Linked DNA regions of Alligator mississippiensis. The protein of the gene in region 3 purifies or fractionates together with the protein of the main gene of each other region. This does not show direct contact. Links are inferred from orthologs where the notes say so. Each region holds a gene or a part of one and is shown on either strand. Other genes may lie near its edges. The genes, in order: RELA, CREBBP, DAXX and RNPS1.

Region 1 (7,055 bases), on a different chromosome or scaffold from region 3:
GGCACCCCACACGCACCCCGCTATGACATACGTGAGTAGACAGGCAGTTGCCATGTTAGTCTCAACTCAGCCTCAAGTCAGGGCAGAGATGCACCTTTAGAGACTCACCACAGTGTGTACAGACACCCCCCCCCCAAAAGAGATACTTCTCCATCTTTATATCCATCTACATCTATTTTTACATCTCTCTCTATTTACTCTTCTCCCCGTCTGTTCCTCCATCTACCTGCAGCTCTCGTTATCCACCTTCATACTCACCCGCAGTTTTCTATCTCTATTTGTCTTTACACCTGTGCTCACCTTCATCTACCTACATGCACATCCATCTATCTTTACATCTGCAAATACCTGTACCTATACCTACCTCTCTATAGCTACCTCTATATATGTCAATACCTGTATCAAAATATACTGACCTCTATTTTTTTGTCTACACTTGTATCTGTCCACATCTGCCTATACCTATCTCTGTTTTTCTTCATATCCATACCTATATCTATCTGTATATCCGTCTATACCTGTACCTACCTACCTGTAGCTATCTTGATATAGCTAGCTTTATATCTGTCTACACCTGGATCTTTCTCTATACAGCTATTTCTATATAGCTATCTTTCTATGTCTATATCTACATATCTATACCCGTTCCTATTTATCTAGATCAGTACAGGTATAGATAGATATATCTCTATCGCTACTTATCTATCTTTATATCCAGGTATACCTGTATCTAGCTATATTTATCTCTTTTTAGCTATCATTATATTTCTCTATACCTATATCTAGCTATCTACACCTACTTTTATTTCTCTCTCTTTATATCCATCCATATTTAGGTATCTTTACACTGGTCTGTACCTGCATCTCTCTATCTACACCTATATTTATCTAGCTTTATACCTGTCTATACCTGATACCCAGATTTAGGTCTAGGTCTCAGTCTCTACTTCTCCCTGTCCCAGTGAGTTTATCAGGGGCCGACTCCCTGCCGCCTACCCAACTTCAGGCTCACGCGGCGAACAACGTCTCTAACCAGCCGGGCCCCGGGTCTCCAGCCAGCTCCTGGAGATCTCCAGGGATGGATCCCCCCCCGCCTCTCTGGCCAGCCTGCTCCAATGCCAGATCCCCTCAGAGCCAGAAGGGTCCTCCTTGTCTCCTGCCTCTGTTTCCCCTGCAGCAGCTGCCAGAGCCCATCCCGTGCTATCCCCGCCTTTGTCTGCTCTTCCCCAGACTCAATCCCCGCAGATCTCTCCCCCTCCGCCCGTCCTGCGTTGCTCTGCGCTGGCCTCTCTCCAATCCACTCCCCTCCTTCTTGAAGTGCGGGGCCCAAAACTGGACCCAGGACTCTGGGTTCATCGTATCACATGAGCATGCGTGCACACGCTGACACGCAACGTCCTGCACACATGTCCCTGCATCATGCACATTATCTACAATATCGTACATACACATGCGTGCCCCTATACTGCACATACCCACACATGCCTGTTTTACATCTACCTGTGCGCAAACATGTGTGTGTGTGTACGCATGATATAGGAACATGTATGGGTAGATATGATATAGGGACCCGTATGGGGGGGGTGTGTGTGCGCACAATATAGGAACACTGGTCCTTATATCACAGACATGCATACATATCATTTTATCGTACATACCCACGTGTCCCCCTGTATCGCATGTAACCATACACACGCGGGATCCTATACTATGCATACACACATGTATACACGTCCCTATATCGTATGCACGTGTGTCTTTATATTGTACGCACCCGCACACGTTCCTATTGTGCGCGCGCACACACGTCCCTATCCTGTATACACGTCTCTATATCGTATGTACACCTGCCCCACAGCGTACATACGTCCATATCTCATATGGACACATACACACGTGTCCCTATAATGTGCACACCCAGGAGTGTACCTGCCCTGAATGCATACACACGTACAGCCCTATGTCGTAGGCATGCACACTTCCGTACACACACAGCCTGGGAGCAGCGCATGACCTCAGCCTGGGAGCAAGGCTCCGACTGCCCGGGGCCAAATCGACCCCAGGGTCCCAGCTGGGCCGGGACGCCTGGGCGGGGAGCGGGGCTTGGGGGCCCCGACGCCTGGGCTCTCCCGCGTCCCCTCCCCGTGACACACGCACACGCCCCTCTCCAGCCACCAGCACAAGAGCGGCTGGTGGCACAACGCACGTCTCCAGGCCGGAAGAGACGGTCGGGCAGAACCGAGCCCGCTCCGCTTCCCGCGCGCGCGGGGGACTCCAGGCCTCCGGCTCTAGGCTCCCTGCCCTGCTCTCAGCCCCGGCCCCCCCAGAGCTGGAGGGAGCCCCGGCCGGCTCCGGCCCTTCCTGGCAGACAATTCCTCTCCCCCCACCCCGGCCCCTTCCTGGCTCCCAAGGGCCCCGCCGCATCCGCATCACCCCAGACTCAGCCGCAACCCAGCAAGCCTGGCCCCAGGGCGGGATCTGCTGGATGGGGGGGGTCACCCCGAGAGCTCCTGGGAATCCCGTCGCCCCCCAGCCCTGCACCCACCCGGCGCAGCCCCACCCCGACCCCCGGGGGCACTCACCGTCCATCGGGGCCGCGGGCGGGTCCTGGCAGGGTGTCACGGGGCCCCGCCGCCCTAGAGGGGGCAGGGACTAAGGGGAGAGGTCCCCAGGCTGGGGGCGGCGCTTAAGCCGAGGGGGCGGGGCTGAGTGTATGGGGGTCCGAACCCCAACTGGGGGCTGGAAGGGGCGGGGCTTCGGTGAGGGCGGGGCTCAAGGAGAGGTGGGTCCTGGCCCCCCGGGGGGGGCGGGGCCGGGCCGGGTGGGGGAGGGGGTCGCTCCCGCCGTGGGATCGGGGCCCGGGTCCGACTGCGTCGTCGCCGCACGCGGAAATGCCCCACCCCATGTGACCGGGCGCTGCTGGGAAAGCCCCGCCCCTCCGAGGCCGCGCCCCCGGGCATGCAAATCTAGCTGAGTGACGTCGCGGGGACCGACCCCCGCTTCCTTCCACGCCCCCTTCCATGCAAACGAGGGCGGTGTCGCCGCGTTCCATCCCCCTCCCTCCACGCCCCCTTTTATGCAAATGACCACAGAGCCGCAGCATTCCATCCTGCCTCCCTCCACGCCTCTTTATGCAAATGAGCTTGGCGTCATCGCGTTCCATCCCCCTCCGTTCCCCGCCAGCAGAGAAAATGTGGCCTCCGCGGCGCGACCGGAAGTGACCCTGCCGCGTCCCGGAAGTAGCCTACGGGGAACCCGGAAGTGGTGCCCGGCCGCTCCCGGAAGTGGAGGCGGGTGGCTCCCGCCGCTCTCCCCCTCCCCCCACAGCGAGAGGCCCAAGATGGCGGAGGTGGTGAGTGGGGGCCGGGGGGCGCGGGGCGGGATCCCGGGGGGGGGGGCAGGACCCCGCTAACGGCCTGTCCCGCCTGCAGGGGGAGGTGTCCGAGGGCTGCCGCCTGCCAGTGTTGCGCCGCAACCAGGAGAACGAGGATGAGTGGCGTGAGTGACGGGGTGGGGCCTGGGGGGACGGGGTGGGGCTAGGGGCACGTCGGGGGACGTCCTGGGGCGAGGGGCGGGGCTTAGAGAGGAGGGGGCGGAGCTACGGGCACCTGTCCCGGGAGAGGCGGGGCCTAGAGAGGAGGGGCGGAGCCAAGGGGGACACATGGGGGGTCCAGGGGGTTGTTGGGGCAGTGACCATAGCAACAGCACCCTCCCATGCAACCTGGGGCTCCCACGGCCCCCCCCCACTCCCGCGGGGCCGGGGGCCGAGGGGTCCAGCGCTGGCAGGGACCAGGGGTCCCTCGTCCCCGTGCCGCCACGTTGGCTCCGCTGTCCCGAGCCTGGCACTGGCCTGACCTGCGTGCGAGCGGCCGGAGCCTGGCAGGGCACGGGGGCCGCGGAGCCGGGGGCCATGTTTCGTCTCCCAGCACCTCATCCTGGGCCCAGCTGCAGCAGAGCGCGCAGGATAACAGTGCAGCTCCCACACCCGCGGGCGGGTCCCTGCCAACAGCCTCTTCCAGATGGAGAGGGGCCGGGGGGGAAGAAACACGCCTGCGGTCGCTGAGTAGGAAGAGCTGGGGCTGGAGCCACGGAGCTCTGCCTCCGCGACTGGTGGTTCTCAGCCTTTTTTGTACCAGGACCCATTTGGAAACATCAGTGGCCGGTCCCGACCCACTGGCCCCCCCTGCCCCTTGTATGAGGTGGGAGAAGTGTGGGGTGGGGGGGGGCCCAAGCGGCCCCTGGCAGGCTGGAAATGTGCCAGCCTGCGAGGGAAAAACCCCGGTTTCCCACGTTTTTCCATTTTTAAAGTTTGTTCACGTACAACCCGTCATCTGTTCTTGCAACCCGCTCTTGCGTCGTGACCCACGGGTTGAGGAACGCTGGCCTGCCGACCACATCTCAGCACTGGGTTTCAGGCCACTCGTCCCCTCCCCGAGCTGGAACGAGCACCCAGGAGTCCTCGGTGCTCTTATCAGGTCCAGGGGTACTGCTGTGCCAAGTAGCCCTTAAACGTCTGATGAAGTGAACTTGGATTCAAAAAAGTTTGTGATTATACACCCACACATCATATTATCACCATCTTCATCATCATTATTATATATTATATATCATCATTATTATATATTATATACACACGCACGTGTATGTATCATTTATATAGTGTATGTGTACACGTGTATTTATATTATATATAAATATATATATATACACACACCTATATTGTATCTACTATGCATGTGTAAGTATATATTTATATGGTATACACACACAGATTTAATGTATCATATGTATAGTTATACACAAATCATTGACATATACATATATAAGCACACCCATCATATAGATTCACACGTACATTCTATATATCGTGCGTGTGTATTTAGTTAGTCAGTCCATAAAGGTGCGTATCTACCCTGCCTGCTAACAGTCTTCACCTTCCTTCAGCTGGGACTAGAACCCAGGCATCCTGGGCTTCCAGCTCTAACCCACTGGAAACCCCCACTCCACTCCCAGGAGTCCTAGCCCCTAATCCCCCATTCACCCCACATCTTTTTCTAGAACTAGAGTTGAATGCAGGTAGCCAGGCTCCCAGCTCCTAACTGCTCCATCACACCAGACTCTACATCTGTCCCAGAGCTGGGCTAGAACCCTGGTATTTTAGCTCCCAGGCCCCCTACTTTAGGCTACTGAATGCCATGCCACTCTCAGCTGGGACGAAACCCAGGAGTCCTGGCTCCAAGTACCTTCATTTATAATAAACTCAACTGCACACACATTATTTAGTATACGACTGTAGGGAAGTCAGGCTGGAAGGGGCCTCACCAGTTATCTGGTCCAGCCCCCGGCTCCGGCTGGTTTAGTCGGGGACAATCCTAATCCAGCCAAGTGCATCCAACATTCTCTTGGTGATCTCTGGAGATGGAGACTCCCCCACCTCTCTGGGCAGCCTGGTCCAATGCTCAACTCCCCTTAGAATCAGAAGGTTCTTCCTCCTCCCCTACCCCAGTTTCCACTGCTGCAGCTTGAGGAAGTTGCTGCTAGTCCCCTTCCTTGTGACCACAGAGAGAGAGCCATCTTCATCCTCTTTCTCATCATCATTTGGGGGTTTGAAGCCTGTGATCAAATCCCCCCTCAGTCTTCTCTTCTGCAGCCTTGATCCCCTGAGTATTTCCAGCCTTTCCTCATCAGTCCCGCTTCCCAGGCTGCTCCTCATCTGTGTTGCTCTGTGCTGGGTTCCTTTCAATCTGTCCACCTTCTTGAAGTGCGGGGCCCAAAACTGGACATAGGACTTCCGGTGATGCCTCCCCAAGGCTGTACAAAGTGGAAGAATCACTGGAGTTGCAAGCAACCTTCTTGTTAATACAACCCGGGAGGCTAATGGCTTTGGCTGCAGCAAAAGCTCACTACTGGCTCCTGCACAGCTTATGATGCATTCAGCTTTGTTGTCCAACTTTAGTCAGTGTGATCTGTTGGAAGAACAGAACAACGGCTCCAGAGGACCGCTGGCTTGGCCTACAGAACTGGGATAAGCCCGAGTTCCTCTGGGAGGAAGGTTGTTTCCCAGTGACGGCTAAACAGAGCATTTTTCCTGTTGCCACAATAGTCCAGGGAACACACAAGAAGCAAGAGGGGTTGGAGGATGCTTCTGACCTGACCATTTGTGTGCCCCAAAGCTGTTTCTGACCCATCTCCTGACTCTCAGTGCAGTCCAGGAAAAATGTAATTGCCAGAACAGAGAAAGCACCTGTTTCTCCCTGGTCCCATCTTGAGCAGAGAAGAAATCAGGCTGGGCCAGATGCTCAGAAGATTGCATCCAGCCCAGCCCCCTGCCCCAGGCAACACCAGCCCTGGCTGAACCATCCTGGTTTGTCCAACACCGTGATTCTCACCCGAGCAGCAGCAGGGTGCTGCAAGACCCTTTCAAGGAAGCTGCACAGTATTAGTACTGGTCTGTGCCCAACAGCTGACACAATTCACCAGAGAAACCCAGAGATCTCCAAGAGGAGCCCAGAGCATCCAGTCCCTCCTGCCCTGCTGAGTTCTTTGCAGCACAACATTTGCACTGATATTTTTCCATAAGAGGTGAGCGAAAGCAAAGACTCAGCCTTGCCTGAGGAGGAGGGTGCGGAGGGGAGCCAGGGGTCTGATGAGGTTGAGACCCACCAGTCTGAACCACCCCTTCAAAAGTTCAAGACCAGATCCTCACACAGCGTTCCCAGCATGGAGCCAGTGATCCTCAAGCACCAGCTTTGCTGGACCGGGCACTGCGCAGACACCCGATGCTCAACTACCAGAATGAGTGCTCTACTCCTGGAACAGTAATGGCTTGAGATCTCGCGGTGGCCAGAGGAAACGCTACGAGATCATGTTGAAGGCAAACCTCCAGATAGTGGGCGCCAGCACCAAGAGCTGGGAGGACCTGGCTGCTGACGGTCTCCAGTGGCATCGCAACCTCCACCGGGGGCAGCCTCTTTTGAGGGAAATTTTCTTGCCTTCTAAGCAGAGGAGAGAGAGCGGAGGAAGGAAAAGGCGGGGAATGCCAGCCTGCAGCCTGC
Region 2 (7,774 bases), on a different chromosome or scaffold from region 3:
CAAAATGCTAGACTATTTGCCTCAAGCAGTTCTTATTATAATCACTGTAATGTAGATGGAGTAACTGTATTTCACTGCTTTTAACATTAATCAACTACTTCTACCATAAAAATTAAGATACTTAAATATTTACTCTAAAAAGGGGGGCCCTTCCATCCAACTGCTACACAGACCATCATATGAACTAGGAACAGAAAAAAATTAAACAACAGCATGCACATTAAACATTCAGGTCCACCTGTGCAGTTAAGACCATTCAGAACACTAAAATTAAGCAGGTATATAAGCACTTGCAGGAATGCAAACTTAATCTTTAGTAACAGAACGGCACAATTGAGCTTTACATTACTTACACCTGAATCAATTTTAATCTCTCACAAAAGGACGCAGCAAACAGCTAAAGTATGCCACTAAATACAATTGAGTGTTACACATTACACAGCCTATTGCTTTTAAGAGCACATGGCTCAAACCTATTTGTCCAAACAACTGTGATCAAAGGCAACTTTCCAGGTTGCAACACAAGGTTCTATTACTAAAACAACAGGCAAGAGCTCATTTTAGGGTCAGAATTTGAGTAAAACATTATAATGAACACCTTTTTTTTTTTTTTTTTTTTTTTTAACAACCTGTTATCTCATGTGGAAACATTCATTCACCTTTCAAATAGTATTAAAAAGATAACTCAAAGATAGATGGAATAAAAACCTTTCAATATACCAAGGATACAATAAAACCAATGCTATTCAAACTTTTCAGAAGTATTACGCTATGAATATTTTTAGATGCTGACCAGACACTATAAAGGTACATGTGAGAAAAACGACTTTTCGGACATCATCACTGTTGAGGGACCAAGGCCCTCAACTCTACAAACATTTCACACCACTGCTGTCAAGGAGTTCTCTGAGGCTACTCACAGGCTTAAGTGTTTGCAGAATTGGGACATAACTTAGTGTGTCCCAATTCTAAAGAGAAACTATTAACTTCAGAAGTCAGTGTTTCAAGTTGTTATTTTACCAGCCAGGATTACACGCTATAACAACTATATGAGAAATTAGGATAAACGATTTCCTTTTTTCTTTGGTTCCACAGTTCATTTTATAATTTCTATATTCACTCTTGTGAATATAGAAATTCACTATATGTCACTCTTCTTCAACATGATATCCAGTTATTTGCAGAAAAAGCTAGAATCATTTATAATCTTTCAAGCATTTCCTCCCTTTGCTACACATTATATGAAAGAAGAATGGCAAAAGTATCTACTACATAGTCAAATACAGATAGTAAATAAGCTGAAATAGCAGTACACCTAATCTTTCATTTACAGCATAATTTTTCAGTGTAAAAAGCATCAGGCTTAATTAAAGTCCCTTTCACTAAACATTCACATGCCTTCATAGACTTGTGGGTGTCAAACATGCCTTCTTGGTCTGTTACTGCTTTTTCAGATACTACCCTAAATTTCAAACTATACACATGCACATAAAAGTTTACAAAAATAAACTGTAAAATAATCTGTTCAAAATAGAAAAGTATTCCCCTTTTCCTAACATGATTTTCAAAGATATTTTCTACTGTGATAAATAATTACTGCAAAAACTACAACTATGTTGTTCAACTATGTTGAAGTGTACGTATTTTGAGACTAGTGAGCATTTTCAATACACAAGACATCATACAACTGGCATGCATAAGACACCTGCAAATTTCTATAGGAAAATGCTCAAAAGCAGACTAAGGTGACTATTTGTAAGACCCAACTTTTCAGTTAAGAACCAGGTCATAACAGTTACAAAGGTAAGTATAGGAAAACATAAATTCTTTACACCAAACAAGCAAATAGTAATTTTAAACAGGGAAATTTGACATTTTTTTTCCTTTCCCCAGAATGTAAAGAACTTATATAGTCAAAGCCAAAAACTTTCAGAAGTAGTTACTGTGAATGAAATCTTTCTGGTTCTCAAACGCACTTCCCAATGGATGAAGGCACATTTACACCACATAATGACTGCTCAGGAGATATTATTCCTGCTCCCTGGCTAACTATGTGGTCTTGACAAAGTAGTAAAATGCACAGAATAGGCACAAATAATTCTGTCTAAATGCAAGTCAAGCTGAGACACCACTAAGTCTTCCAAGAGCAAGTACAGAAATCCCTGGACCATGGCAGTGACATGGCTCCAAAGCTCCCTACAGAAATCCTCAAGTTCTGATCAACTGCACCTCTAGTTTACCTTTATCTGAGGGCATAAGCAAGCAAAGGCAGGGAGGAATGATCCCTTTCACTTCCATTAGGTCCTGCCAAGCTCTGGGGAACCCGTCACCGGTCCTGGAGCAGCGGCCACAGCTGGAGGACAGGCGAGCCAGCCGCCAGTGAGCTCCGCTAGAAGGGGATGGGGGTCCGGCAAGTCTGGCCTCCGTGAGGGCCGGCTCAGCTTGCAGGGACGGGGCAGCCAGGCTCGGGGGGGAGGGGGGGGGCACCTCTCCAGCCAGGTCTGGGGCTGTCAGGCTCCTCCCGGACTCATCCCCTAGCTTAGAGCCGCGGGGCGGGGCGGGCCTGGCGACTGCCAGAGAAGCGGGGGCTTTTGTTCAGCGGCGAGCCCCAAGGGGGACGGTCCTGTCCGGCCTCAGCCCGGTCCCGCGGCCCCGGAGCCGCCTGCGAGGCCGGTGCGCAGGTGCCGGCTCCGCGGTCGCTCACCTGTGCTGTCGGTGGGGGGGAAGCCCGGCGAGTTGAGCTTGGGTCGCTTGGCGTTGGGCGGCCCGTCCAGCAAGTTCTCCGCCATGGCAGCCGGCTCGACAGTCACAGCCCCAGCCCCGCCGCGCTCCGCCCGCCGGCCGGGGCCGCCAGCTCTTGCGCTCCGAGTCGGGCGCCGCCAGCAGCCGAACAACAGCGCCGCTCAGTGCCGGGCCGGCGGCGGCCCCCGCTCCCCCATGCCCGGGCCGGGCCGCCGCCGCAGCAGGCCGCAGGGAGGAGGGCTCGGGCTCGGGGCGGGGTGGCGAGAGCCCAGCGCCCCCCCTTCCCCCCCCCGCCTCGCTCCTCCCGGCCGCTCCCCCGCCCTCGCGCGGCGAGGAGGTGCCCGGATGGCGGCTCAGTCAGTCACTCCGGGAGCACAGCGCCCCCCCCGCGCCCGACCCGGCCCGGCCCGGCCCGTCCCCTCCCCTCCGCGCGGGCTCGCCCCGGCCCCGACCCCGGCCGCGGCCCAGGCTCCGCTCCGCGCTCGGCCGCCCCGACGCCCGCCCACCCACGAGCAGCCGCCGCCGCCGGCAAGAAAAACAATGAGCGCAGCGCGGCGGCCGCGGCTCCCGGTCCCGGCGGCGGCGCCCGGCTCCCCGCCCCGGCCGGTGCTGCCCCGCTGGCCGAGCCCGCCTGGCCTCCGCGGCGCTCCGTGCGGCTGCCCGTGCCCCGGAGGGCCGCCTCGCTGGCCCGGCCCGGCCCGGCCCGGCCCTGCTCCCGCTCGCGCCGCGCTCGGCTCCGCGACAAGATGGCGGCTGTTGATTCCTCAATTAAAAAAAAAAGTTTTTTTTTCTCTTCTCTTTTCCAGAGACCATGGGGGCGGGGGCGGGGCGGGGCCTGCGCGCTGCGTCACCGCGCAGGGGAACGCCCCCTCCCCCGCCATCGCCGGAAAGACACGAGCGGCCGCGGAAACAGCCGAGCGCGGCCGGAGTGGGCGGGGGAGGGGGAAGCGTATGCAAATAGACATGCAAATATGGGGTGCCCGGTGCGCGCCGCTGTAGCCACAGCGCCCCCGAGGCTCCTGCCTGGGTCCTGCGCCCCTCGCACGGCCGCCGTGCTGTGGGCACTCTGCCCCCGGGCACCGCCACGCCGTGGTCCCCACCGCCCGCTGCCCCTGGAGCACCTCATGTCCCCGCCAGTCGGCCAGTAAGCGCCTGTCCTCCCTGCCCTGCTGCCTTCTCCCCACCTCGCCTCAGCGCTCACCCCCGTTCTGCCTCCAGGTGGTGCCTCCTCGCCCGTGGCAGCACCCGGCAGATTTTACTAACTTACACGGACAATTTTGTAATCTTAGATCACTTTGAACACAGGTTGGTCTTCACCGGTCACACATCTGCTCCCCTCCAACACGCTGCCCGAGGCAGAGTGCTCACCCTGTTGCCTTCCCCCGGTAATACCCTCTGCCTACACCTCCCTCTCCACCTTCCTGTGATGCCCACCATCATCCACTCCGGCATCCGCCTCTGCGTAACACGGATTGAGCAACTGCTCTACTGTCTATCTATAGGTCCAAACCTCCTAGCACCTTCCTCCATACCTACTTCCTATCCTACAGTGCCCACCCACACTTCTCACCTTTTGCTTCCCCACAGTGTTCCCGTCCAGTTTGCCTCTCTAGAGGGTTCAGAACTTCCCACACCTCCAGCTCATCTTTCCTCCATGCTCCCCCATATTCCATATGCCGATACTCCATAATCCTGAATGACCCTGTGATATGTTCGTGTACCTGCCACACATTGCCATTGGAAATGTCTCTCACACTTTCAGAACCCCAACACCCGTCAGCACACCTGTCATGCAAGATCCCCATGTTTTTGCCCATCCAGCTGCTCAGCACTTGCCCACCTTCAGGCAGTATCAGGGCGTACTTAAGGGTCTAAGGGAGACCCCAGCAGTCTTTCCTGCCTATGACAACAATGAAACTTCACTACAGCACCAGCCAAACTTTCCCCAGCAAACATTTACCTGTACACATTCTTGCTGCCTCTATGCAGAGAGCCATCACACTGCCTCTGCATGGTGGCAGAAGTGCACACAGAAACACTGTTTCTGTCAAACTACTTGTAATATAATTTTAAGGCAAAAAAAGTGGAGGTGGTAGAAAACAAGGTGGATGGGGGCAACAAACATAAGATCTCTTGATTGTACAGATGAGTTAATACATTGCTTTAGTTGGATATATTAGATTTTATGCGTCTTAAAGCTGTAATAATCTATTTCCATTTAAAAAAAAATCTGTTTTATCAGTTGCTACATTATATTTGTTACTTTTATGAATTTCTTTAGTTATTAAAGGGATTACTTAATATGGCTGCCAGCCATAGCACGACTTAATAGTTCCCTTTAAATTAATGGTTCCAATACCTATATTATTCCTATTGCTATATAATTCCTTACTAATGCATATTCCAGTGAATAATTACTATTTTTTGTTAAATTATATCAGTAGCATAAATGCCTGGGGGGGAGCAGGGGCACCTGGGGCCAGAGGTGTGGGCTCTGCTTTTTTTGAGAGGGGCAGAGATTCAGAAATAACTAGCTACATGGCTAGTGGTTGGCTGCACCTCTACCACCAGCAGCATGGCGTCCAGCACTATCGTGTGTGCTAAAACTGCCCCTGGTGCCAAGCTGCACTGTTATGGCTCTGAATTCCGTCTTTCAAATCTCAAGAAAATCAATCATGTCCTGTAAGATTCACAATAGACAACTCCAATTCCAAGGATCTCAGTAACTACTAGAATGCCCAAAGTCTGGGACCAGAAACATTTTCATATGTCCATTATTTTAACTGGAGGCAGCATAATGGTAACAGTATATTCATTGCTCTTCAATTGTCAGTAATTAAGGACATCTAACATTGAGGAAATTATGAATTGCATACACTCTTTTAATGTATCAATTTCACTGTCATATATTTGTACCAGTTGGGAAGAGGGAACATACATTTTATGTCAGAAGTGTGGGAGGATTCAGCCTCTGGGAGAGAAATCAGGTCATATTGTCTGTCACAAGCAACAATGGATCACAGTGCTCTCAACTTCCTTACAACTTACGCCATTTTCAAAATGTTCAAGCAGTGAATATTGAATGATGGCCTAATTCTTTACCCAAAACTTTCCCATTTAACCATCAGTGGTTAGTTGTCTTGAATACAAGGTGTTCACTCTAATAATTTAATCAGTCGTCAGGGTTTTTTTGCAATATTTGTTTTCCAGTACTGACTCAACATCTGCTGATTCAGAAGACGAGGACAAAACTTCTAATTCAGATAAGGATTTACAGGATCCACCAGTGGGGTCATAGTAACTCACACATCCTTTGGGTATAGCTCCAGGAAGACTACTTACTACTTCAGTCGAGTGCCGAGGGTTTGGAACAGGTTCCCCCATGAGGTGGTACAGTCACCAACCCTGGTGAACTTCAAAAAGCATCTTGACACACACCTTGCTGGGGTCACCTGAGCCCAGCAGTCTTTCCTGCCTATGACAACTATGAAACTTCACTACAGCACCAGCCAAACTCATCCCAGCAAACAAGTTGGGTGCGTCCAGACGAGTGCACATGTGCCTCTTGCCCCATCTCAAACCCCTTTGAGGCAGGGCAAGGGGCACTGAAGGAGTGAAAAAATGTTCCGTGTGCTGCAAGAAAATGAGACCCCTGGATATCCAGGGGTCAAACAAAAACCCGGGGGAAAAAACTGGGTCTGGGACCATGCCCTCAGGCAACTGGAGGCTTAGTCCTCCCGAGACGCTCTGGCAGAGTACCAGAGCATCTCTATGATTGGCCCTTTCTCTGCTCCTGAAGCATGCTGCCTACCTGTGCTGGGCAGGCAGTGGTGCAAGCTGCAGGGACCCAGACCCAGCTTTTGCCAGGTAAGCAGGGGGTTGGGGGCTGGAGAGGGGGGGGACCTCAGGAGGCTGGAGATGGCAGGGGAACAAGCAGGGGACTGGAGACAGCCCTGGAGGCATTCCCCTGCTGTCCCCTGCTCTCCCGAGGCTGGAGACAACGGGAATGTTTCTGTGGCTGTCTCCAGCCCCCTGCTCCTTCCCCTGCTTTTCTCCAGCCTCAGGGGGGCAGGGGGCTGGAGGCATCAGGGGAATGTCTCCAGGGGCAGTCTCAGCCTCCTGCTCCCTCCCAAGGCTGGAGACAAGCAGCGGAAGGAGCAGGGGGCTGGAGACGAGCAGGAGGCTGGAGACAAGCCCCTGGAGATAAGCTGGAGACTTCCCGTGCTCTCTCCAGCCTCCTGCTCATTCTCTGCTACTGCTGGTGAGTGGGGCGGGGGGGGAGGGGGGGCTGGGAGAGCAAGTGGGGAGCTGGGGGAATGAACAGAGGGTGGGGGGAATGAACAGGATGGGGGGAATGAACGGGGCAAGGGGAATGAGTGAGGAGCAGGGGAATAAATGCAGAGCAGGGGGAATGAACAGGGGCCAGGGGGAATGAACCGTGGATGCGGGGAATGAATGGGGAGCAGGGGAACAAATGGGGAGCTGAGGGAACCAACAGGGGTGGATGGGAATGAGCCTCCTGTTCATTCTCCTATTCTCTCCAATCTCCTGCTTGTTCTCTTGCTTATCTCCAGTCTCTAGAGGCTGGAGAAGAGCAGGGGAATGAGCAGGGGGCTTGAGCCCAGCGAGGGGGGGGGGGGAAGCTGTCACCCCTGGAGAGGCCTGGGACCCTAAAGGTAGGGTAGTCCATGTGTTGAGGGGGGCTCTGCCCTGTGGGGGGCAGGGTACCATTGGTGATGCATAGGAGGTGCACATGCACTCCCTGAGCATGGCAGTGAACCCTGTCAAAAAAAGTGCCACTGACACTGTCGGTGGTGCCTGTAGGTGGTTGCAGCTTGCCACCCCCTGCCACCAGTGGTGTCTCCAGGCAGTCAGCGACCACTGCTGGCCACCGCTGTCACTTCCAGTGGTGTCTGTGGGTGCTCGCCGCTCACCACCCGTCCCCCCGCTGCCGACAGTGCCGGCAGCATCTGCGGGAGCTCCCCACTTACCACTGCCACCATGCTCTCACTGCCACCAACACCGCCATGCC
Region 3 (7,251 bases):
GCCCTGCCCGTCTACGGATCCTTTCTTCCTCCTCGCTCTCATCCTGCAGCTGGGCATAGTGCGAGATGACGCTCTCCAGCCGATTCAGGGCTGTGGTCTGGTTCTCCCGCAGACGCCGGGCCAGCATTGGGTCCGTCAGTGCAGGATCTGTACCTACAACCACGAGGGAGAGGGACAAATAAACTAAGCATCCACAGCCCAACCTTCTGCTCGAAAGGCACTAGCGTCCCTGCAACCAGATTAGCCAATAGACCCCACAGCACGTAAAGAAGAGGCTCAGTGCTCATCAGCGGGGTCCTCTGTCTACCACCTTGTGTAAGCAGGAGAGAGGCACAGCTCTCCCTGGAGCAGCAGTAGACAGAGGCCCCTTGGGCCATGCCAGCCCCACACACCCTGCACTCACCAGGGCGGTAATGGTCGGTGAGATGGCTGCCAAAGTTGTAGATGAGGTCGAGGTGGCGGCGCTCCTGGAGCCGGTTGCCGACATCCCGAAAGGCATCCTGGGCCATGCTCTCTATTTGACGCTTCTTCAGGGCTAGGCCATGGCGGGCACTGGCCTTCTGAATGACCTTGAGGATGTCAGAGTAGTCAGGGAAGATGTCAGGACGGTTGATGAAGCGCTCGATGCGACGGTTGACCTCTGGGTAGCGGGTGCCACGGTAGGGGATGCGCTGCTCGATGACGCGCCCGGTCAGGCTGCTGCACTGCTTCAGCTCGCACAGGCGCTCAAAGATTCGCATCATGCGGCGCTTGAGCCGGCTCTCCTGCAGGTAGGTTGAGTCCTCGCTGTCCATCTCCGTCAGGTCCAGCTCCCGCTCCTGTAGCCGACGGATCTCCCCCATGTAGATGTGCAGCAGGTTCTCCAGGTACCGGATCTGCCGCTTGGAGCCTGTCCCATGCCGCCCTGCCCCAACCTCTGCCTCCATGGCTGCCAACTCGCTCCTGCCCGCCTCAGTGTCCGCTGTCTCATGCTCCTCAATGTTGTTCTGCTCCTGATTCGTGGCAAGGGGTGGGCAAGGAGCGGGGACAGCACTGATGGCCAGCTTACGGCGCTGGGTGTTGGCCTTGAGCACAGTGCATACTTCATTAATGTAGACATACACCTTGTGGTGCCGGGCCTGCACGCGTGTCAGGCAGCGGCTCAGCACATTGCGGAATTCAGCTGAGCCCAGGAATGCGGGACTGGCCTTCTGGTGCCGGCCCGTCAGGTAGGGGACCACCTCGGGGTGCTCCTCCGTCAGCTGGGAACAGCAGGCTAGGAACTGTTGGTGACAGACGCACAGAAAAGAGGCAGGTGGGGCTGGGGTCAGCCAGGCACGGTGCTCCAGGAATTGAATGGGGTCAGGTCAGGGTGGGGGTGGGAAAGGGAAAAGATAGGCAGGGAGCAAGTATCAGTGCTCCACGGACTAGGGGAAGGAAAGCAGGCAGGTGGGGAAGGGGTCAGGGGTCAGCCAGACACGCTCCAAAACCTGGGGGCACAGGGGGAAGCCAGAGGGGGTGACAGTGAGCAGCTGGGGCCTGGGCCCCGCTCCACCTCCCCGTGCTGGCACAGGGGAGCCCCCCTCCACCCCCAGGGCAGCCTGGGGAACTGAGCACAGCGCGCTGGGCAGTGTGCACTGCAACCCACCCTGGGCTGGGGATAGAGAGGACCAAGGAGCCTGGGCTGGCATGCGAGGGGAACTCACGTCGGCAAACAACTGCTCGTTCTCAGCCTGGAAAGCGCCCCTGTCCTGGGGGGCCGTGGCGACAATTGTGGGACCATCCAGGGAGGCCTGGCTGGGGGGCGGGGGGGAAACGGCATGGGCCAAGGGGCCATCCTGGGGGGCGCAGCTGGTGGGCAGGGGGGAGGTGGTGGGCGGGGTGGGCGGCGCCTCATGCCCCTCGTAGTCGTCGTCGTCCAGGACAATGATGCTGCCGTGGGGCGCGGCCGCCATGGGCGCAGGCTCACAGCGGGGGGGCGCAGCGCATCCCAGGTGGGCGGGGGGCACCTCCGCGGGGATGGACCTGCGGGCGGAGGGGCGTTAGCACCACCAGGGGCCCCCACCCATCTCCCCGTAGCCCCGCCCCCGCGGGGCCCGGGCCCGCGGAGCCCGGCGGGGGCGGGGCAGCCGCACGGGCCCACGGGACGGGGAAGGAGGGGTGGGGCCGGGCCCGGGGCAGGCGGGGCCCGCCCCCCGCGCGCCCTCACCCGCCGCCGCCGGCGCTTCCGCGGGGCCCGAGCCACCGAGTTCCCTCCGCGGCCGCGCGCAGGACCGGAAGCGGGCCCCAGTGTCAGGTGCGGGCGCCGCCATGCCGCCGTACGGCCGCGCCGGGCCAATCCGGGGCCGCGTTCGCATCCGGGTCCTGGCCGGGCCCGCGGCGCCGCCATCTTGTTGCACGGCGAGCGGGGGCGCCCCGGCGCGGTACGCCTCCCATCGACCCCGCCCCCGCGGGCCGCGGCCCCCGGGTGGCTCCCGCCCATCCTCCCTCCCGCCGCCGCCGCCGCCCCGCGACAGCGGGAGGTGCAAACCGGCCGCCCCCCCGACCCCCGGGGCGCCGCCATTTTCCCGCGAGGAGAGTACTTCCCGGTGTCGCTAGCCACATGACCTCACTGCCCACGTGACACCACCCGACCAATCAGAACGCCGCACTCTAGCTTCCCCCGCCCACCGTTTAAGAGGCGCGGGCGGGGCATGACTTGGACCCAACCACCTTCCCGCGCGGGGTGGAGGGGGCGGGCGTTCCTCTCCGTTGTAGGAGGGGGCGCGCGCCACTGCGGGGGTCTGGCCGATACCATTCCCGCAGGGCGGGGGGTACGTGCTCTGCGTCTGCTCCGCTTCCGCAGAAGATGGCGGCCTCCACGAGACAAGCCATTAATAGCGCCGTCCACGCGCCGCTCCGCCGCGGGCTGCTAAAATGGCATCGGATTGATAGCGACTCAGCGCGCATGTGCGCACCCGCACCTCCGGGCAGCTGCGTTGGCGGCCCGAATGTTCTGCGCATGCGCTTCCAAGTCCGTACAACAAAATGGCGGCGCCCAGGACATTTGCAGTTTCGGTCAGGTGGGTGGAGACGGCGGCTGCGGAAGGCCAGAAAACCCCAGTGCGGCCAAGAGGTGGCTCTATGGCCCTCCCGGGGCTTTGTCAAGCTGCACGGTCTGCAGCGGCGGGAAGCGGCCCAGAGGCTGTCTCCCAGGGTCGGGCTTTACGGTTACACGGTGCATCTGAATGGTGCTGGGGGGGCTTTGCTGTCAGGGAACAGATCCACCGCAGCTGCAGCTCCGAGGTGGGCAGTCCGTGCCGCCTCTTTCAGCATGGAGCTGTCCACTGCCCCACGTGTCCCCGCAGCCGCCACGTGAAACCCAAGGGAGCGGGGCCGGGCCCTCGTGCCTCGGGGTCACTGCAAAGGAGCGGGCATTTGCAGCACAGCCGGTGCGCCAAGATGTCCATCAACCCCCCGCGGTGATGGTGGCAGCGGCCTGCGAGCCCTGGTGCAGGAAGACCGCGAGCGCTGGCTGGACACCCCTTCTCGTTCCCTGTGACTCCGGGTGGAAAAGAGGCTCAGGATCCAAGCCAGGGCCTGGTGGCAAAGCCGAGGCACATACTGCCAGGTCCCTCGTCCGACCCATTGCACAACTTCCTCAGCCCCCATCCACCGGCAAGCGTGAGCTTGGAGCAGGCCTTGGCCCGCAGACACCACAGGGAAAGGTGCCCGGCCCAGTGCAGATCCCCAGTCGCTTGCCTTGGCACGGCCATGCAGTTGAGTCCCAACTCATAAGAACACGATCGCCGCGCCCTGGGTGAGACCCGGTCGTCCTGCCCAGTCTCAGGGTGGGGAGTGAGTGCTGATGGGGGCGGTTGGTTTTCCCCCTGTTCCTCTCCCACCTGCAGCCTCCAGCTTTTCAGGTCTGGAAACCTCCGACCCAGAAGCTGTGCCCCTCGCTCTTGTGCTCCATAGTGACTGATGCCCCTCTTCTCCAAGGATGTGTCCAAACCCTTTGCAAACCTGGCTGAACTCGCAGCTTTCACCACATCCGGTGACAAGGAGTTCTGTCCTTCAATTGCACGCGGCATGAAAGACAACTTCCTGTTGTGAGTTTTAAAAGTCCTATCCAGTGCTATTATTTTGTGACCCCTGGTCCAATTACTTTTCCATGCTTTACAATCACTTAACAAAGCAACAGCATGCCGAGTTTAGGCCCTGACGAAGCTACATTTCATGGTAAATTTAAAATTGAGCTTCTTTTGAATGCTAGAGTCATGGCTGCTTCATTTTCTCCAAGTTGGTGGCTCTCAACCATCTCAGACTTGAAGCTCCTTCAATAGACTCCAGGCTGCCCTCAAAAAGTGGTAGCCCTTAATTTGCAGGTTTTTTGAATGTAGAAAATAACAGAGCAAATTTTCTGGTGCAAAGACATAAGAAAGATGCAACAGGCCAGACTGTTCTTAGCACTATGAATCCTGATGAAAAAGCTCGGGGTTTACTTTGCCAATCACATTCGCCACCTAATAGCACGAGTGTTGTGTGGCACTTTGACTCACCCCTGAGAGGATCTCACAGCACCCTGGTGGGGAATCACTGCTCTAAGTTCCTAGTCCAGCAGATGGAGATGGTCCTGTTACCTATGACCAGAACTAGCCCTGTCCATTGACAGTGAGGCTTCTGATGGGTCATCTACTGCACTGGGTAGTCATCGAGAAATCAAACAGAAGGAGGGCTGGAAGAGACCTCCAGAGGTCACGTCTTATTCAGCCCCCTGCCTGAGGCAGGATCATCCCTGTTCAAACCATCCCTGACAAATCCACAGTCTAAACCTTCACCAGCTTTTGCACTCTTACTCTTTTGACCTCCTTCTACAGTGACATCTCCAATATCTTGTGGATTAAACAGCTTACAATGCATTCAATCTTTCCCCAAATAAAACCTGTTAGAACATGTGATGCCTTCCATTTAGGGTAGATTCTTGCTGATGCCTCCCTCTTTTACACACTGGGTTAGCACATCATGCCACATAATCATTGAACACACAATACAGTCATGCGTTTCCAGCCAGCATGTTGCATAAGAATTGGTTAGTACCCTCTTTCTGAGCCTAGCACTGACCTACGAAGCACCCATCTGATGGGAGCCACTGGATACATCACCTGTTCTTTACCTGTTCAAGGCATTGGAGTGGAGCATTTGCAACCCAGCAGGGCCCACAGGTCTGGCTCCATTATCCCCCAGTCTTGGTGTCTCACGGCAAAATCCGAAACCTAGGCTGGGATCTGTTGATTCAACCCTCTTAGACACTTTCCTAGCATCAATATTCAAAGCGCTTGGACCTTGCATGGATACTACTACCCACAAGACTTGTCCCAGATGGTATGAATTCACAGGTCCATGTTTTCACTTTCTTCTCTAAAGTGGTTTCTAGTCCAGTCGTCATTTTTACTGTTACTTGGTACATTTTAGGCTTATTATAATGGCAACCTGTACTTGCCATGGCACAACATTGTCAAAGGATACATGTGGCTTTTCAGGAGGGAAACCATTGCTATCTGCTGTCCCCATCACGTCCTGGTTGTGCTGCCACCGCTTGATCCATGACTGCTTATTTGTCAGTTACCCCTGCTTATTGTGCAGCTAACCTTTCATGAAGACCATTTCACTCTCTGCCACCTGTGCACACCAGCCCAGCCCCCAGCCATGGGCCTACAAGTCCTCAGTGGTGCAGCAGGCAGAAGATGTTCGAATCTCAATGGCTGCAAAGGCAGATGAAGGCTGCAGTGGACCAAGATCCCCAATTGTCTTGGTTTCCTTGCCATTGGATCAAGATCTCATTCTGTCAAGCTGATGCACAGCAGCTTCTCCATGATAAAAGAAATAATGTACAAGCATCTTCGATGGAAACAGTTTTTCCAGCATATTCTTTAAGTCCTCCAGTGGGCAGCACCTAGTGATGATGGGAGCAGGCCTGTGAGATCTGGAAGCTCCTAGTTATGAATTGGCATGATGATGGCAGTTACAAGAAGGTTGTGTAGCACTTGGAGCCAGGACTGCAATCTGATGGTTGTCACTGTAACTGAGCAGCCCTCTTCAGGATCTGCTCTGCTTGCCCCCCTTGGGAAGGGGCCTAGAAAAAGTTGCTCTGGTTACCTCTTTCCTAACTGCATAACTGCATTCAGTGGGATCCCCTTTGCTGCAGTCAAAATCAACAAAGATACGCAATCAATTTTGGGACCTGGAACATCAGGACCTTCACAGACAATGTTAATAGCAAATGCCCAAAGTGCTGCACCACAATTGTGGCTCAAGAGCCCAGGTGACACAGCATTGACATCACTGTCCTAAGTGAGAACAGGTGAATGGGAGATGGGCAGCTCAAAGAACAAGGAGGCAGCTATACTGGAAAGGTAAACAGGAAGGAGAATGCTGGCTTCATGGAGCTGGTTTTTGCCATCAAGAATGAACTCAACCAATGCAATGACTTCCCTGTTAGAATGAATGAGCACCCCAAGACTCTCTGTTTTAAACCGGCAGGAATTCAACATGTCACTGTCATCCATCCCCTATGCCCTGACTCTTGACCCTGCTGACAAAACCAAGGAGGAATGTTATGCCAACCTCGACCAAGTCCTTTTTGGCATTCCAGAGGAAGACAGACTTATTCTTTTCAGCTATTTCAATGCCAGAGTTGGAAGAGACTCAAACCTCTGGACCAGAAGCATCAACAAGAAAGGAGTGGAGAAAAGTCAACTCCAACGGCATACCCCTTTTGACCAGATGGGCAGAACACAGACTTGCCATCACCAACGTCCTGCTCCACCAGAAAAATAGGCACAAAATATGGCAACACCTGTGATCTAAGCATTGGCACCCGATTGCCCACATCATTGTTCATGCCTAGGGTGACAGATGTCTGCATCACCTGAACTATGCTAGGAGCTGACAGTTGCTGGACTGATCGTCAACACATCTGCTTGGTTATATCATTCAGACTGGCTCCGAAATGACAGCTGCAGCAGAGGCAATGCTGACAGGTCAGTAAGGACCCAATCAAGCACAATCTCTTTCACCAGTGCCTACGTGAAAACAAGGACAATTCCAATCAACAACAGTGGGAGAATGCCAGCAACACTTCAGATGCCTTCAAGTCCACTGGCTTCTGCACCTGCATGGAGACATGTGGATTCACTAGCAGGAAACATCAAGACTGGGTTGAGGAGAACAACCAGGAGATCCAAGAGTTGATCGACCACAAGCGCAAGGCCTTTTGTGCTTGGCAGAACA
Region 4 (6,993 bases), on a different chromosome or scaffold from region 3:
TCAGAAGGCGAGAGATGTTTCCAATTCCTCACCCTCATTGGGAGAGTCCTAGTACACTATACAATTGTTTCAGGCCTAGAAAATTGGGACAGAATCATTACCTAGTGCTGGATTTTTTATTATTCTCTTTGAATCCTAGCAAACTCTTCTTTTTCATTCCTGATAACTCCATTTCCCCTTCGGAGGCGTGGAAAGCAGCACCGAATGGATCTCACTTATCTCAAATCTCACTTCTAACTCCTTGATTCTGAGAAACGGTCCCTAATCGAGTGCAATAAATTCCAAAGAGCAGCCTAGTGACAAGATAAAAGGATTTAAAAAGAAGAAATTAATTTATTGGCACAAAAAACAAACCTACTTTGCAATACAGGCAGCACACATTGGGGATCAGCTACTGAAATAGTTTACACAGGGCACTGTGATCAGACGCACTGCTCCATGACTGTTACAGGCAGCCTAAGGGCCTGCGCATAGTTGCATGTTTTTGTCTGCTGAAGAATTCGAACAGGTTTCAGAACACTATCTGAAATGTCATACGAGTACAAAGGGTACAAACTAGCCATTCAAGATAGGTGGCAGATGGGTCAAGCATAGCTTTTAATGGATTATTTTTTTGCACCCCAAATATACAGGTAACTTGCCTTGTCACAACTATTCTGTCTCAGAGGATTAAGGGCTTCTTTTACCAGAGCCAATTGGTGCCACAGCATATGTTGGTAAGGAAAGGGGCATTACTCAAAAGCCTTGAAGTCCCCCTTCTCTGTCTAAGCAAACTGCTTCCATAGCTAAGTCAGCTTGGAACAAGCACCTGAGCTATGGAACCAAAGTTGCATACATTGTTGTGACTTCAACAGACTTTGTTTGAATCCCTCTAAGGGGGAAGCCTACCTGGGCTCAGACCTGATGTACCTGCCCCCCCCTGTACTCTTGATCCAAATGAACACCCCAATATTAAATAGCTATTTAATTACTAGCCACAAGCTGAACCCCAGGTGTAATCCAAGAGAGGTCCTAATATGCCACATACAACATGCAGTCCCAATACATCTTCACATTGTAACTGTACTGGTGAACTGTTTAATGTTTTCGATAAGAAGTGCCTGCAGCTTGCAATCTGCTGGTAGGCTGCTGCTGTTTGATTTGTGATCACTTCTCTCCACATAAATACCCGAAGCTTTCTGGGGAGCAAATTCTGTGATCACCACAAATGCAACTGAAGCACAAGCAGGAACCTAGACAAATAAAACATTCAGAAGACTACAAGTCTAGACTTTATTCACATCTTTTTAAACCACCTTTGCACTGTGATCCTACAGAGAGTATGTAATACCAGTAACATTAAATGAAGTTTCTTTAGCCAACACACAAGGAAGTGATGTGGTTAGTACTGTGTCTGGTCTTTCCTTTGACTTCCCAAGCCAGGTGTGGCTAGGTATTTTCAGGTAGCTTGACAGGGGGCAGCCTGCAGACATGAATTACCACTGAGGCTCAAACACACTTTTGGAACAAAACAACTAAACTGCTATGCATTGCACTCCTAATCCAGTCTAAAATCACTTTCCAGTTTCACCCTTATTGAAGTGGGGGAAATGTCATGCTCAAAACAACCTTCATCTTTGCCATCATTCTACTCACTGGACTTAATAGTGCAGGTGCTGAAATTAACAGTGAAACACTGCCTGCATAGGAACAATTTTGCCTGATATGCAAATTAACCCTGCTGTGTCCTTTTAGTATTAAAATTAAGAACATTTTCAAGTGGTGCAAGCATTCACTGCCACCAAAGCTTCCGTCTCCTTTTCCCTCCATAAAAATGTGCGCGCCTTCTCTCAGTACCATGCAACCTGCCCTGTTCATTTGCTATCAGCCAACGGACTGCAAACATCTACAGCCTGATGAAACAGAAACTGAGGTCTCGGAGAACAAAGACAAGGCTACATGCGCGCTTGCCCAGCTATCACCCATGTTCAGTCACTCGCTAGAAATAAGCCATGTGTCTAAACATGGGCATACATACATGGGGATGGCATATGCAAGCAATACGCTTCCTTCCAGTTACCAAGAACATTGCTTTGCCTACAAATTTAGGAATCTCTCAAATGAAGAGGAGGAGCACAAGGCATGTGGAGCAAGCATTCGGGTGTTACATGATTCTTCTTCGCTCTCCTGTTCTATGCAGTGGTGTAGTGACAGGACGCACCGTTACAACAGTGACATTTCCGGGATGGACAAAGTAAACCCTACTCCGCTACAGACTTCCTGCACGAGCCTGGGCAGGGCATGTCACTGCGGTGTGCTTCAGCTCCCACTGGCTACAGGAGGCTAGCACTTCCAGGCTGAGAAGAATGTGTTCGTGCAGCGGGGCCCGCGGGCTGCAGAAGGATGAAGCGGGGAGCCCCGCGCAGTTTGCGGGTGCCGGGGCGAAGCTGCGGCACGTTACCGTGCCCGGTGCATCGTGGCGGCGTCGCTGCTGGTCGTGCCACGCGAGCCGCCACGCTAGGAACGGAGCCGAGACGCAGGCTGAGGAACAGGGAGAGAAAAAGCAGACCGAGAACAGAGTCGACTCAGGGGCCAAGAGAGGCGGCCGCCACCGACGTGCCCCTACTCTCCGGCTCACTCAGCAGGTGCCCGCTGCCTCCCCGGGCCGTCAGTTCCCCCCGCGCACAGAGCAGCCCGAGCCAGGAAGGGGGCGGGGAGCGCGCTCGGCCCCGCTCGGGCTGTCCCCGCAGGGCGCGGTAGGCCTCGGCGCCAGGCTCCATCCTCGTCCCGTCCGCCCGCCCGCCATGTTCTCTCGGGAGGCTCCGCGCCCCTCCCCCTGGGGCCCTCCGGCGGTCGCGGGGCCCCCGGCGCCTCCCCCCGGCCAGATGCAGCCGGATGCCCGCGCCCCCCTCCCGACTCACATCCTCGGCGCCCGCCGCTGCTGCTCCCCAACCCCGTCGCGCTCCACAGACGCGCCCCGGGCGGGAAGGACCCGAGAGGCGCAGGCTGATGGCGTCATCAGTGGGGGGGATTTAAAGGGACAGAGCGGGCCGCCTGAGCCCAGGCAGCCTCCGGCTCTCGGCTGGCCGCGCAGGGCAGCGCAAGCCTCCTCCCGTCCCCCTCTGCAAACGTCCTCTCTTCGGTCCGAGCCTGTCTAGCCCTCGGCCGCCCCCACCCCCGCGGCCGGTGCAAGGTGCCGCATCATTCACCTCAGCCGACGTTTCAAAGCCTGGTGGATCCCCCCGGCCAGGAGTTTCTGCAATAAGTGGCGGGGCTGAGCTCTGGTGCGGCCGGGGCCGGGGCCTGTCTGGTGCGGAGCCCGCGCTGACCCGGCCTGGAGCTTTCCGCCGGAGACCGAGGGGGGCTGCCTGCCACGCGGCCTCCCGCACTCACCTGTGCCGCTTCCCCTCTTCCTTGCGGCTCGGCCGGCGCACGCGAGCTGATCGGGCCCCGGAAGACTCACCAGCACGGCCGACGAACAGGCTGGGCAGAGCGGGTAGCAAGAGCAGGATCGAGCCGGCGGCTGGAGTCGGCGGAGAGCTGCAGGGAGCAGCCGGTACCCGGAGAGCCCGGGACGCGGGTAGGGAAGGAGCCCTGGTGCTGGGAGCCTGGGTGAGAGAGAAGAAATGGTGCCACTGCCGCAACGAGCTGCGTGGCAGAAATCGCCTACTTGACAGTGCTCTTAAGTCCGCTCTGCAGCCCTTGTTTTCTACCCAGTCTAGCAACCTCAAGTGTGACAGCCCCGGCATGTACCTCTGATCCACCAGTCAGAGCACTGTGCACCTGCCCACTGCCCCGTCCACAGACAACGGGAACCGGGAGCTAGTAAAAGATGCGTCCGTCCTCGCCCTCAACCCCGGCAGCAAGCCGCGCGGCGGGTGCAGAGAGGAGCTAGTCTGGCCGAGGGAAGGCTGCTGCTTGCCTGGTTGCCTGCACGTCCCCCGGGGACACGCGCGCTGGCCCCATCATGACAGAGCCCGGTCCATGCAGCCCGGCAGCGCCTGGTGGGGGAGAAGGCAGCTCCTTCCCAACCCTGAGGCAGAGCTGTCCTTGAAAGAGTTAAGGCAGGGCCCCTCCCCTTTGAATGCATAAACCTCACTCCTGACCTTCCCAGCAGCCCTTGCTGGCTCTCCCCCAACCAAACAAAGAGGGCAGGAGCTTTTCAAACAGGAGCTTTCCACAAAGTTTGGTAGTGCTGGGAGGACAGCAGAGTATGCTGAAGAACTGGTCTGCTCCCAGGTCTGTGCTGTCAAAGCCTGGCTGGAGAGAGCAGCAGCACCAGCACTAGCACTGGTTTAATGCCTTCCTCCAAAAGGATTGTGGTGATCTCTCCTGGTTTGCTGCATGTAGACACTTCAGGGGTTTGTATGCATGTTTACTCCTTGGCTTTAAGTTGGTTTGGTTGTTGGGAATGTAGTAAAAGGATAGAGAGGAAGTGCAGGGGGAGTCTGTGCAGGAGGGCTTGCTGCCTTGCGGAGTGTCAGTTTATGTTATGCTGCTGGATTCCTTAGCACTGCACTCTGCTTTTAGCACACTTGCACGTCCCTTGGGGCATAGCTTGGCTGCTATAAATGGGGTCCCGGCTACCAAGTGTCCTGTGTGTATAAGTATCCAGCAGGAATTCTGAGAGACTGTTGTCATGTGCCTGAATTCACACAGCAAGTCAGCGTCTTGCTTGGGGTGAGTAGTTGGAGACAGCAGCATTGCCTAAACTGATATTTCTCACGCTGGGTGTGCAGTGAATTTCTGGAGGGCACATGAGGCTCCTGGGGAGCTTGTAGTGTGGTTGCTGGGGCATAAGACGTGTTTTATTACACATGCCATGGAATCCTAGGGGTATGCAGCAACATAGCAATTTAAATAGGGGTGTGTGACCCACTTCTGAATGAATGAGGAAGGGATGGACTTTAAGAGGTGCTGATTTCTGATTCTGCCTCGGGCCCTGTGCTAGTTTCTTCATTTCTGGTTCCCCATTTGTACACAGACATAATAATACTGCTGCCTTTGCAGGTGTGTGTGTAGAGGTGGTGGGGCTGTTGGGGATTAATTAGTCCATGTTTGTAAAATATCACTTACGGGTAAATATTATTGTCATGTGGATTAAACCCTTTAGTGACTCAGTGCTACATCTATTTTAATTAGTTACACACAGGTGTTTATAGAAAAGGGTGTCCTGGTTGTATAGTAAGCAAGTGACTTGTTAGCTGGTGGTCTAATTTTGCAGCTGGCTAAAGCACTACATTTTTATTGTCTCTTTAATTATTATGAAGTGGGGGAAGATACTAGCACCATAGTTTTGCATGGCAAGACAGTGTAGCACCATACCAGCCCTGCAGAGGGTTACATAGTAGTGCCAACTCCTCAGACAGTGCCTCAGCTTTGATCTTTGGACCCTGTTTTTTATGTTTAAAATGAGGCTTGCGTGACTCTCTGCACATGACTGAGGGAGGCTATATGGGTGTTTGGCTCTGTAGGGTGTGTGTCACTTTGATAGTAAACAAGTCACACAGCCATGAGGATTTCATTTCTGTGCTCTGAAAGTTGTAAACCTTTCACTTGAATTGCATAGGAAATCCTGAGATCAAAAGCTGTTGCTGCAGGGGACAGAAATGCAGTAGCTGCATTTGTTGGGTTACCTAGCTTTGAAGCTACAGAAAAGGGATTTTTCCTTGCCTGTTCTTAAATATTGCATCTTCTGAAAATAACACGGACAACATCCACTTGGCTGACACTGGGGAACACCTAGAAGTTCTAGTGTATCTAACTATAGACTCTGAGCTTGCTTTGTGCCCTTTGTGTCCACTGTAGTTTTTATATTTGCTTTTTTGTGACAATCTTGCTGCTAGTTCATATCCACAGTTTCTAATGCCATACATGGGTGAAGATGTGTATGCAGCAGTCTGTTTGTGATCTGGCCCTGAAAATGTGCAATGATGTATGTGCCTTTGTTTTTGTTTTTCTTCAATGACATTTTGAAAGTGTGCCCTGACTGTATAAATGTTTGCTGAGTATTGAACTTCCTTAAACACCTTGATCTTGCTACAAAGAATAAGGGTTACATGACTGTGTGCGATGACTTCCTTGTCTTTTCTTCTAACAAGTTCAAGACCCCCAATAAGTTAAAGAGGTGTGTGCAGTTCTTAATCTTGAAGTCCCCCAAGCAGAAAAGTGTTTCTGGGGAAATTGGAGACTTAGAGTTACAGTAGCATTTTTAAGCCAGGTCAGTAACAGGGAGCAATTCTCCCTCATGTACTTTTTGGTCGTGCACTGTTCAAGTAGGCACGATGAATTTGTCACATCTCTGGACTTGCTAGCTGATAAGTCCTCAGAACTCAAAGAAACTCTTCTGGAAAAAATGTTACTGTCTTCCTCACTTGTAGTGTTAAGCGATCTAATTTGGAAAATTGCAGTTTCTTACTAAGCAAACCTCCTGTGTGTGCTTTTATACTGGTTTACAAACTTTTTAAGGTCATAATAATTAAAAAAATATTTAATCCAACTTTTATTTTTAGGTCTCCTTCCATTTAAGGATCTCTGTGCTTTATGAACATGTTTGCTTAGCCAAACCTATCTCTGAGGTAGTCTCTCTGGGCTTTGTATTCCCCATTTGTATCATGGAGATTAAATGCCTTGCCAAAGGCTACATCGAGATAATGCTTGGTTGTGCTATAGAGCCTAAATATCTTGCTTCCAGGTGTTCCACCTTATCTATAAGTCTGTCCAGCCTTGCTTGAGTCTATCCTTCCTTTGATGTACCAGCAACTGATGTCCAAAGAAGTGGAAGTGCTTGTTCTGCTCCTCCCCTATGGAGGATAAGTCATCATGGTTCACATAATAGTGCTGCCTTCACCCAACCAAATTTTCTGGCAGGAACTAATTTCTCCCTTGTGATCATGCTGCTCCCAGTTCTCCACTGCCTGTGAAGAAAATGAGAACTTGGTAACACAACCTACTTGCACAGACACTTCTGAGGGATGGGCTTTTCACGGTCAGCTCTGGTTTACATGGTTATCT

The links.
Region 1: the proteins of DAXX (region 3) and RELA purify together in Homo sapiens (affinity purification with western blotting; 4 studies listed by BioGRID and IntAct, with this or other methods). This does not show direct contact. The link is inferred for Alligator mississippiensis from reciprocal best matches to the Homo sapiens genes DAXX and RELA.
Region 2: the proteins of DAXX (region 3) and CREBBP purify together in Homo sapiens (affinity purification with western blotting; 3 studies listed by BioGRID and IntAct, with this or other methods). This does not show direct contact. The link is inferred for Alligator mississippiensis from reciprocal best matches to the Homo sapiens genes DAXX and CREBBP.
Region 4: the proteins of DAXX (region 3) and RNPS1 purify together in Homo sapiens (co-immunoprecipitation; 3 studies listed by BioGRID and IntAct, with this or other methods). This does not show direct contact. The link is inferred for Alligator mississippiensis from reciprocal best matches to the Homo sapiens genes DAXX and RNPS1.

Annotation. Positions count from the first base shown.
Region 1 is NC_081838.1:4,258,708-4,265,762, reverse strand, and holds the start of RELA (transcription factor p65), read right to left. Parts: upstream 3,018-7,055; 5' UTR 2,590-3,017; coding exon 2,583-2,589; intron 1-2,582. Other genes in the region: histone acetyltransferase KAT5, read left to right, coding at 3,341-3,352, 3,432-3,498. UniProt on the Homo sapiens protein: NF-kappa-B is a pleiotropic transcription factor present in almost all cell types and is the endpoint of a series of signal transduction events that are initiated by a vast array of stimuli related to many biological processes such as inflammation, immunity, differentiation, cell growth, tumorigenesis and apoptosis.
Region 2 is NC_081836.1:24,211,092-24,218,865, forward strand, and holds the start of CREBBP (CREB-binding protein), read right to left. Parts: upstream 3,009-7,774; 5' UTR 2,790-3,008; coding exon 2,705-2,789; intron 1-2,704. UniProt on the Homo sapiens protein: Acetylates histones, giving a specific tag for transcriptional activation. Mediates acetylation of histone H3 at 'Lys-18' and 'Lys-27' (H3K18ac and H3K27ac, respectively).
Region 3 is NC_081834.1:64,839,786-64,847,036, forward strand, and holds the start of DAXX (death domain-associated protein 6), read right to left. Parts: upstream 3,012-7,251; 5' UTR 2,983-3,011; coding exon 2,774-2,982; exon of another isoform or gene 2,650-2,773; intron 2,279-2,649; exon of another isoform or gene 2,189-2,278; intron 2,005-2,188; coding exon 1,686-2,004; intron 1,263-1,685; coding exon 404-1,262; intron 154-403; coding exon 1-153. UniProt on the Homo sapiens protein: Transcription corepressor known to repress transcriptional potential of several sumoylated transcription factors. Down-regulates basal and activated transcription.
Region 4 is NC_081836.1:29,023,576-29,030,568, reverse strand, and holds the start of RNPS1 (RNA-binding protein with serine-rich domain 1), read right to left. Parts: upstream 3,014-6,993; 5' UTR 2,999-3,013; coding exon 2,901-2,998; intron 2,521-2,900; exon of another isoform or gene 2,441-2,520; intron 2,431-2,440; exon of another isoform or gene 2,201-2,430; intron 294-2,200; exon of another isoform or gene 173-293; coding exon of another isoform or gene 102-172; intron 1-101. UniProt on the Homo sapiens protein: Part of pre- and post-splicing multiprotein mRNP complexes. Auxiliary component of the splicing-dependent multiprotein exon junction complex (EJC) deposited at splice junction on mRNAs.